Nothobranchius furzeri: one gene and its partner. The protein of the gene in region 2 interacts with the protein of the main gene of each other region in a biochemical or structural test. Links are inferred from orthologs where the notes say so. Each region holds a gene or a part of one and is shown on either strand. Other genes may lie near its edges. The genes, in order: plat and fga.

Region 1 (4,598 bases), on a different chromosome or scaffold from region 2:
AAGCACAAAATTTGTCATATGGCGACGACAAAAAAGAATTTTGATATTGCACTAATTTTTCCCTTTTTTTTCTTGCGCCCCCATGAAAAAATACTGGCCCCACTGTGGCCCCCCTGGAAAATTTGGCCTAGAACCGCCCCTGGTTGTGACCATGGACGTAATTTTGGGGTGGGGTGGGGGGGGGGGGGGTGGCACTTTTTCCAAAATCAAGTTTTGACCCCTGCACTTTTTACCATCCAAAAACAATATTACGCTTTATTAAATTGACACTGGTTGAGCTCTAGGACCAAGCGGAAAACAACCATTTGTGTTGAAGCCTGTTTCAATTTAGAGCATACTGTAAAGATCCCCCCCCCCCCCCCCGGTGTGTCCCCCCCCCCCCCACTTCTAAAGTGAAAATTACGTCCATGGGTGTGACACTGATCTGTGAACAGCTGAAACTCGTGTGTTTCGGCCTGTAAGTGGGTCACATATGACCGGATGGATCCAAAACAAGTTTGGTAATTTAGAGGCCATACTGTGAGTCATAATAGCAGGTTTGAAGATGAGGCACTTACGTTCAGCAAACAAGTGCAATTCACTGCAAGGCAAACACACACACACACACACACACACACACACACACACACACACACACACGCACACACACAGCGGTAATATCCCAGCTGGAAGTGAATGCCAGGAGTTGCGTGACATTTCTGTGTATTTTAGGAACTGCTCTTCCTCGGTGACCACAGCGTTTGACATTGCAGCGACGGTGATGTGAAAAGACGGGTAATCACGATGTTGTGTTGAGCTTTAGAAGGTGAGACATTCTTTTATTTGTGCCACAAAACTAAAATACCAAAGTGGGAAGGGTTTAGTGGTGCAGCAGCACAGTCGCACCTGGCTGACAAGTCAGAAAATAAAAGTCTGAACTGCAGTTGAAAGCATTTTTTAAAGTTTCTCTTCCTGTTTCTGCATCAGCGTTGGTGCAGTGCTCCTTCTGAAGTTTTAATTTTTGGTGTTTTGGAATAAACAAGCATGTTGATTTACATTTAAATACATCATGTCAGTATTTCTGGTTCATGACTGAGTCCTTTAAAATTATATCTAAGACCTTTACACAGGAACAACCGCACAGAAAGACAAATGCAAAGCAAAAAACACAAATTAGCTGTTCTAGCTTGCAGCCAATGATAAAACAACTTTTTTTTGTCTATTAAATAATTAGAGTTACTGAAAGTTCAAGGTGTACCAAACTCATTACAAGGCCTGTATTATAAAATATGCTTCATGTTGTCAAAGAAATTAATAGAAAAGGGAGGAAGTTACATCAAATATGCAGGAAAATGGTACATAAATGAGGTGCTGCACTGGTTTTAGTGGAGAAAATGGAAACATAAACAGGAATTCCTGTCCAATTTTCTTTGTTTGATTCTTAACTATAATTATAGTATTTCCATGTGTAATTTGCGGGTCTCCAGAGAACACAAATAGTAAATTTTGTCATCTTCAAAGTAAGTTTTAGACCTTTTGAGATGATATTCACCAGCACTTTCTGGTGATGTCATGGCGTTATTTGTCCTTTTCCCATCAGGGATTTTGGTCAGGCTTGGGTAAACCTGCAGGGCTCTACAGAAGCTCGCGTTGTTGCCTACCCCCCCCCCCCCCCCCCCCCCCCCCCCCCCCCCCGTGAGCAACAGCACCACAAACTCCTTTTCAGGAAGAAACACAAATATCAAGGAGTCGACATCGGGTGTAAACTGGGGTCGTAACGGTGCGTGAGACAGTTCCAGGAAACGAGTTGAAAGGATGGATAAATGGGGGATAAAACAAGAGAGAGGGAATCAAATTCCAAAGGTCAGCAGAAAGAAAATGAGCCACTCTGAGTCATCCCATCTCCCAGGATGGAAACAGATGGAGGCTTTTGTGTGGTGTAGAGTCAGTGTCAGGGTCACAGATGGAGATGCTGATCAAACATGAATGGAGTACCAGTTTCATGGAGGATGTCAGCGTTAGACCTTCTGTCCCTAATCCAGATGATCCTGATAAGAGTCTGGACATGATGAATCCGGTGTGAGCAGCTTTGCACACTCACCCTTAACACGCCTAATGATGGAGCCACAGAATGCCATGAGCGTTGCTTCACACCAACCACTAATTAAGTTCCTTAAAGGCGCTCAGGACTGTGAAGTCAGCAGCGGTGCAGGAATTTACTCTGCAGCAGGAAACTAATAGAACAGGTGAGGCAAATAAAAAAAAACCCGTTTCTCCTCCTCAGGACTGAATAATGCACACATTACAGTAAATAGAAGACAACATGGTGTTTTAGTTCAAATGTTGCTTTATGTTAAAAATAATAATTATCTAACTGAATCCACCTATCAAAACCATTCATTCTGCTGTGTTTTAATGTTTTTCTTTATTAATAAGAAAGTTGATGAACAGATAAAAAAGTAGACCAGCATCACGACAGAAGTGTGTGTGTGTGCGCTTATATGTCTCTGTGTGTCCCCGTGATGGACAGGAGACCTGTCCAGGGTGTCCTCCCGCCTCCCTGTGACTCTGGTGAGGACTTAGCAGTTTGTGGATATGAGGAAGAAAGTAAGATTGCTAATCTCAATTAATTCTGCTGCGTTTTAATTTTTTTTTCTTTATTAATAAGAAAGTTGCTGAACAGATAAAAAAGTAGACCAGCAGCACGACAGAAGTGTAAATGATAGATAATCTTCTTACCAGATGTGTCCTCCTGCAGGTTCTGTCAGGGTCCTTCCTTTGAGTTCAGGTTTTATCAGACCTCTCCGGTTCCCCCGGTGCCTGAGGGGGAGGGCTGAGGAGCTGTGACGTCAACGTGGGAGGATGATGGCTGTTGTGGGCGGGGCCTGGGAGGCACTCGGGCTCATCCTGAGGGGATTTTCCTAATCGAAAATAAGACCAGAAGTTTTTTCTTCTGAGAATTTATTAAAAAATATTTTCTCAGCATTACAGCAGCATCGTGAGGAGGAAGCGCTTTAACTTGTTCTTTAGAAAACTTTATTGTAAAACATTGCCTCAAAGCAGTAAGAGTTGTAACTTAGTCTATAATAATAATAATGATAAGTAATAATAATCATGTTAACATTTTTCACAAGGCCACTGTCTTTTTCCCTTCATTAACAGATTTTTTCCTGTTCAGTATATCTTTCAGAAAGACACGAGGAAGAAAATAAAATTGCTAATCTCAATAAATTCTCCGTCTTCAGTGGAAAAAAATCTAACATACACTTTAAATGTTAAAGAAAATAAAAAATAAAAATGGAATCACACAGAGGGCTACACGTTGCACCAGTGCCTCACAGCGAGAAGGTTGCTGGTTCGATTCCCACACAGATTCTGCCGAGTTAGCATGTTCTGCTTGTGTGGGTTTTCTCTAGTTTTGTCCCACAGACCAAAATTATGCAGGTTAGGTTCATTAACTTTTCTAAATGATCCCCTGGTGTGTGTGTGTGTGGTTATTTGTCTCTGTGTGTCCCCGTGATGGACAGGAGACCTGTCCAGGGTGTCCTCCCGCCTCCCTGTGACTCGGGTGAGGACTTACAGAAAGCTGAAGGTCATTTAGAATCATAATCAACTTTATTTTCTATTTAAATTTAACAGCAAAAATAAGTTTCATTTAAAGATTTTATTACATCTCATAAAACTTGACATAAACCGTGTCTTCTCTAATTTAAGTTTGCCTTGAAAAGAAAAGAAAAACAACCTTTGGGCATTTTTATTCTTCATAAACCATAAATACTCACCAACAGCACTATTCAGAACAAAACACGGTTTTAATAAAGTTTAAAGCTGGAGAGTAAAGCACTTTAATATTTTTTTTCTTTATTATTTACTTGAGTTTAAAAGCTCATTTTGGCGGCATCTGATTGACATAAATGATAATCCAACAGGACTCTTGAGTGGTCTCTGAGAAGCTGAGGGACGGATCCAGCCAGAACCAGAACTCATTTTTCAGAACCACGGGCTCCATCCCTTCCTCAGAAAATCAGTTCCAGTTCCTTTCATCCTCAGAACCATGCCGTTCCTGTTTCAGTGGGATGCTTCATGCTTTTTTATTCTGGTGCTGAAAAACAGATTTAGAGCAGCGCTTTGGGCTGTAAATCAGCTGGGTGTCGGTTCCAACTGTCTCTGTGTTTATTTTTCCTTCAGTTTTATTTTGAGACAGAAACAGATTTTGACAGATCTGACTGGTAACGTGTTTTATCTCATTGTTAAATCAAGAATAAAGAGACATTGAATTGATGTTTCTAGAATCTGTGCCAGTGACATCGGAGATTAAGACCTTGTTGTCCACATTTGACAAAATGACAAAGTCAACAGCAGGAAGACAAACAGGAATCTTTGCACAAAATCATTTTTATTATACTTAAATACCAGATAAGTGAGATCCCCTTTAGCTAAAGTTTCACTTTGACTTTTTCAGTTTAATTCTTGTGATAATGCATTAATTTCTGATTTACCAGACCATAGAGGGATTCTGATCTTTTAATTTCCAACTCTCTTCAAAAAAACAATTAAATATTTGGGGAATAACTGCAAAACTATGAAAAGTTTTGGATTTTTCTCCCTTAATTTTCTTT
Region 2 (4,544 bases):
TGCTGCCGATCTTCTCAGGTGTTTTTCTTCACCCCAAGACCTTCTGGACTCGAGTTCTTCTCACCTCAGAGAAGACGTCGTCTTTCTTCTGACCTCCTACATCCTTGGATTTGAATCTGGTTTCTGCAGCTGCAGTCTGCAGAGAGCTGGTCTTCATCACATACAGCGTCCCGACCGACTCGACGCTCTGGGCCGACTGGGCCTCCAGCTGCCTCATCTGAGGGAGGGTGCCAAGAATGAGTCCGGCTGAAATTCCTCCTCACAAAGGTCCGATTTATCCTGATTTACCTGTTTATCCAGGTTGACGTAGCTCTCCTTGTCCACCTGGTACTCGCTGTACCCACCACAGGAACCTTTGCAGGAACGGAGCTTAATGTCGATGTCAACCTGACAGAAGACAAGGTTGGAGAGATGAATCTGGGCAGCAAATACTCAGATAACCCTGCACCAGTCAGGTAGCTCTGATGTTAATCTATCTATAACTAGACTAGAGTTTTTGGTGGCAGCAGAACAACATTTAAAGCTTTGTGGGAACTTCATGGAAAATTGGACGTTATTTGTTACAGAATGAATTTAAACTCCGGTTAGACTCCTCTGATGTTTGCTTCTAAACAGCAGGAGGATCTTTTGGGTCTAATAGGTGTTTTTGTTGTTTTAGTAACAGGAAATTACCTAATTTAGCTAATAGTTTGATGTTCTGTTTGTTAATCTTTATATTTTCTATGTTCAGATAAAAACAGCTGATTCGTGTCGTTTTCAGGACTAAGACTTTGTTTTTGTCCCTGCAGACTCTCCGTACCTCCAGCCTCTGCATCTCGGTGACCTGGTTTTTGACCCGATTCTTCAGGGCAGCCAGAGTGTTCATCTGATTGTCGATCCTGATCTTCATGTCGGTGATCCTCTGTCGGAGGCTTTGGGCCAGGTCGTAGTAGTTGTTGTTGTTTCCTGTAGTCAAACATGTTCATGATCAGCTCCAACCAAACACCCTCCTACCTTCTCCGAGTCTGTTTCTCCTCGCTTTCCTTCTTAAAGTGTGTCAGATATGAAAGGTTTCTCCTCAAACGGACCAGAATCGGTGGTGAGTCTGTCCCGTAGGTAGTCGTAGGTCTGTTTGGACACCTGGTCGGTGGAGCGATGCTTGGCCTTGTTCTGGTTCAGGAGGCTGCGGATCTTCTCGATCTTCTTCAGCAGCTCATGGTCCGCTTTATCCATCAAGCCCTGAATCCTGCAGCCTGACGGGCATTTGGAGAGCTGGTGGAGCACAAAGCAACAGTTTGAGCGTCAGACACCAAGGAGGGATTAAAATCTGTGGAAGGCTCTTCGTGCCACTAAAGACATTTAATCTGTCATGTGAGAAGTTGGAATTAAGAGTTTCAACGTTGGAGTGATCCTTCCTGCTCTCCTGAGCATCAGCAGCTCTGACGGGTGGATTATGAGGTGATGAAGAGCAGAATTACCCAGTCATCATCGGTGCAGAAGGGCCACTCCTTCTGGGTGGAACATTTGTCTGATCGGGTAGCAGGCTCCACAGGACGGGCTCCTCTCGGGTCAACCTGAGACGCAACCTGTAGTAGATGAAATGGACACTAATGTAGCACCAGAGTGGAAGACCCTAGCACGCACCTGTTCACCCGATGAACCACGTCTCGTTCAGGGGTCTGAAATCTGCGGCTCTGGAGCTACTAGTAGCTCGGTGGGCCTTCCACCACGGCTCCTGGTTACTTTAAATGTAGATAAAATAAAAAAAATGCAGCTTTTCGGTTTTTGTGTCCAAAGACGACATCATGGTTCTCTCTTATAACTGATATTTAGAGAAGATTCAGAGAAACAGTCACAATCCTAACTCTAATCTCAGAAGTCTGAGGCCTTGTTTTACGTTTCTCGGCAAATATAAATGATTTTAAACGCTCCTGCATCAGCTGCAGCTCTAAACCGATGTTCTTCCAGCGGTCTGGGTAGGTCCAGGTGGCTTTGTGGGTTTCTACTGGTTCATCTTAAATTCTAACTTTCTCAGTATAAAACAAACGTTTAAACACAAAACCTGATAAATATTATGAGATAACGAGGAAAACCTCTCAGATCTTCACTTAATATTCACCAGCAACTATTTTAATGTATTCATTATAATGTTCTGAAATGTCCCAGATATTTGGGAAGTAAAAGACGACCTTCTCAGAATACATTTGGTTCTGTTGTCAGAGGAAGAACGTTTGGGAATTTTTGAAATTTTCCTGTAATTTCTTCTCAATAAAACCAGAACATATGTCTTATTTATTTACTCAGCTCAGTCATTTTTTTCCTTCAGATTCAAGTAAATAATTCCGTTTTTTTCTATCAATTTTAAAGTCAGCCAGAAAAATATAATTATATTCTTGTAATTTCTGCCTTTAAATGAAAGATTTTAACATTTTTTACGAAATTATCAGGAAAAATGTAATTTCCTTTTATTCTACATTCACACTAATGGCATCCTCCAGTTTCTGCCCAGCCTTTATTATTATTAATTATTTATTATTATTATTATTATTATTATTGTTATTGTTATTATTATTATTATTTTTATAAAAGCTGCATTTTCATTCAATAACTCGTACAGACAAATAAACATTAAGAGTATCTGGTTCTAGATTTGGTCAAACAGGATGAATTTGACCAGTTAAACCAGTCAAACTTACAGGTGAGATCATTTCATGAATTTTCTAGAGGATAAAGTGGAGCTCACCTGAGTCACAGCAACACACACCAGACAGACCAGTAACCTCATCATCTTCATCTCTCTGGTTCTTCCTCTGAATGTTCCTGCTGCCCCGCTGCCGGGTCTTATCAAGCGTCCGACCTCAGAACCTCCGTCAGGTCCGGTCAGAGTTGAGCAACGACCTCCTGCTCACACCGACCGTCTGTTTGTTGTACTTAGTGTGTCTGAACTCACAAAACTAACACACAAAATACACAAAAACAACCCAAAACACACCGCTGAGTCAGCTGTTCCCACACAGGTGAGTAAAGCTGCAGGAACATCTGACCTGCTGACCCATCAGGGATCAGATCTCTTTTATAAATGTGTGTGTGTGTGTGTGTGTGTGTGTGTGTGTGTGTGTGTGTGTGTGTGTGTGTGTGTGTGTGTGTGTGTGTGTGTGTGTGTGTGTGTGTGTGTGTGTGTGTGTGTGTGCGTGTGTGTGTTTTCTGGGACTATGATGAAATTAGAACAGTTTAACACAGAAACCAGAACCAGCTTGGCTTCCTGGGGCTGGAGGAGGGAGATCTGGCCGTCTGGTTGGGGTCTGGGGTGGTGGGTTGCTGTGCTCAGCGTTGGGCGGGGGAACCTGCTCATCAGCACCCCAGCAGAAAGGGTCAAACTCTGGGAACCGGTAATGGTTGTACCCCATGTGCAGCAGTACCGGGACCAGAGTGAATAGGGTGTGTATGGGGAGCATGAGTGGGTGTCCGGCGTGCATTTTTGTAAGTCTTTGGTTGTATGTGCATGTGTGAGCATAAGGGAGGGAGTGTGTGACTGTGTTTGTGTATGACTGCATATGTCAGGTGGCGCCTTTGACTCCTCCCCTCTCCTGGGACTTCTTTTGATGATATAGATCTTCGCCTCCCCTCTGCCTGCCACACCTGGTGTGGGGTGTGGTGCCTTGGTCTGCCTGAGTGTTCGTGGCTCCCAGGTCAGGGGGTTTAAGATTTTTGGCGTTTGCCTGATCAATCCCGGTGGCTGCCTGGTGGGGTCTGGGTCCCTGGGCTCTGCTGGGTCCCCGGTGAGGGTGGTCGCCCCTGGGCCCCGGGCTTGGCCGGTTGCGGGGTGGGAGGCTGCGGGCGGGCCTGTGGGCTTGCCGCCGATATCTTCCAGAACTCCACCGGCTGCTGGTTGTGGCCACCCGAGGCTTTCCTCTGCGCCTCTCGAGGGGGGCAGGGGCTTTTCTTGTTGCGGTCTCCTTGGGGTTCCTGTGCTCTGGGGCAGCTCCCGGATCTCTGGGACTTGGAGCTCCCTCCATCTCCTACGTATCTTTGGGGGGAAGATCTGTGGCCCCTCATACTCTCTATTGGACGCTCCTATAGAAAAACCTTACATATACAAACGCGTGTACGCACACAGGTGCTCACATGGTGCTCTCATAAGTATGGACTTGGGCACGTTCAACACACGTCTTAAGGCTGTGGTTGGCACTAAATGCACTGTGATTTATTATCGTGTGATTGTTCAGTTAAACAATGTTGATTTTTACATTTCTTCATCAAGTTGACACAGTGATAGCTTACTCCTGTTGTATTGTTGTGTGTCCCATTTCTGCAGGTCTAGAAGCAGACTGTTCATCATTGATTGCTTATTTTCGTGCAACCCCTGTCACATGCTGCCACAAAACAAACTGCCTACAAGCAGCGTGTCTGAACTGGTGCTGTTCCAGCCATGGTGCAGGGCAATCCTCCAGAGCAAAAGTGTCATTCAGGCAGCCTGAGCCAACTGCAACACACCTTTCACTAAGATGTAGTAGTCCATGTACGCCATCGTACTGATGCATGCCTGTAGTGGTTGTCGGCAGCAT

Evidence for each region.
Region 1: the proteins of fga (region 2) and plat form a complex in vitro, tested with the Homo sapiens proteins (2 studies listed by BioGRID). The link is inferred for Nothobranchius furzeri from reciprocal best matches to the Homo sapiens genes FGA and PLAT.

The regions. Positions count from the first base shown.
Region 1 is NC_091757.1:55,676,370-55,680,967, reverse strand, and holds the start of plat (tissue-type plasminogen activator), read right to left. Parts: upstream 2,819-4,598; 5' UTR 2,719-2,818; intron 1-2,718. UniProt on the Homo sapiens protein: Converts the abundant, but inactive, zymogen plasminogen to plasmin by hydrolyzing a single Arg-Val bond in plasminogen.
Region 2 is NC_091742.1:90,961,056-90,965,599, forward strand, and holds the start of fga (fibrinogen alpha chain), read right to left. Parts: upstream 2,880-4,544; 5' UTR 2,774-2,879; coding exon 2,723-2,773; intron 1,566-2,722; coding exon 1,458-1,565; intron 1,252-1,457; coding exon 1,068-1,251; intron 946-1,067; coding exon 800-945; intron 388-799; coding exon 289-387; intron 218-288; coding exon 65-217; intron 1-64. UniProt on the Homo sapiens protein: Cleaved by the protease thrombin to yield monomers which, together with fibrinogen beta (FGB) and fibrinogen gamma (FGG), polymerize to form an insoluble fibrin matrix. Fibrin has a major function in hemostasis as one of the primary components of blood clots.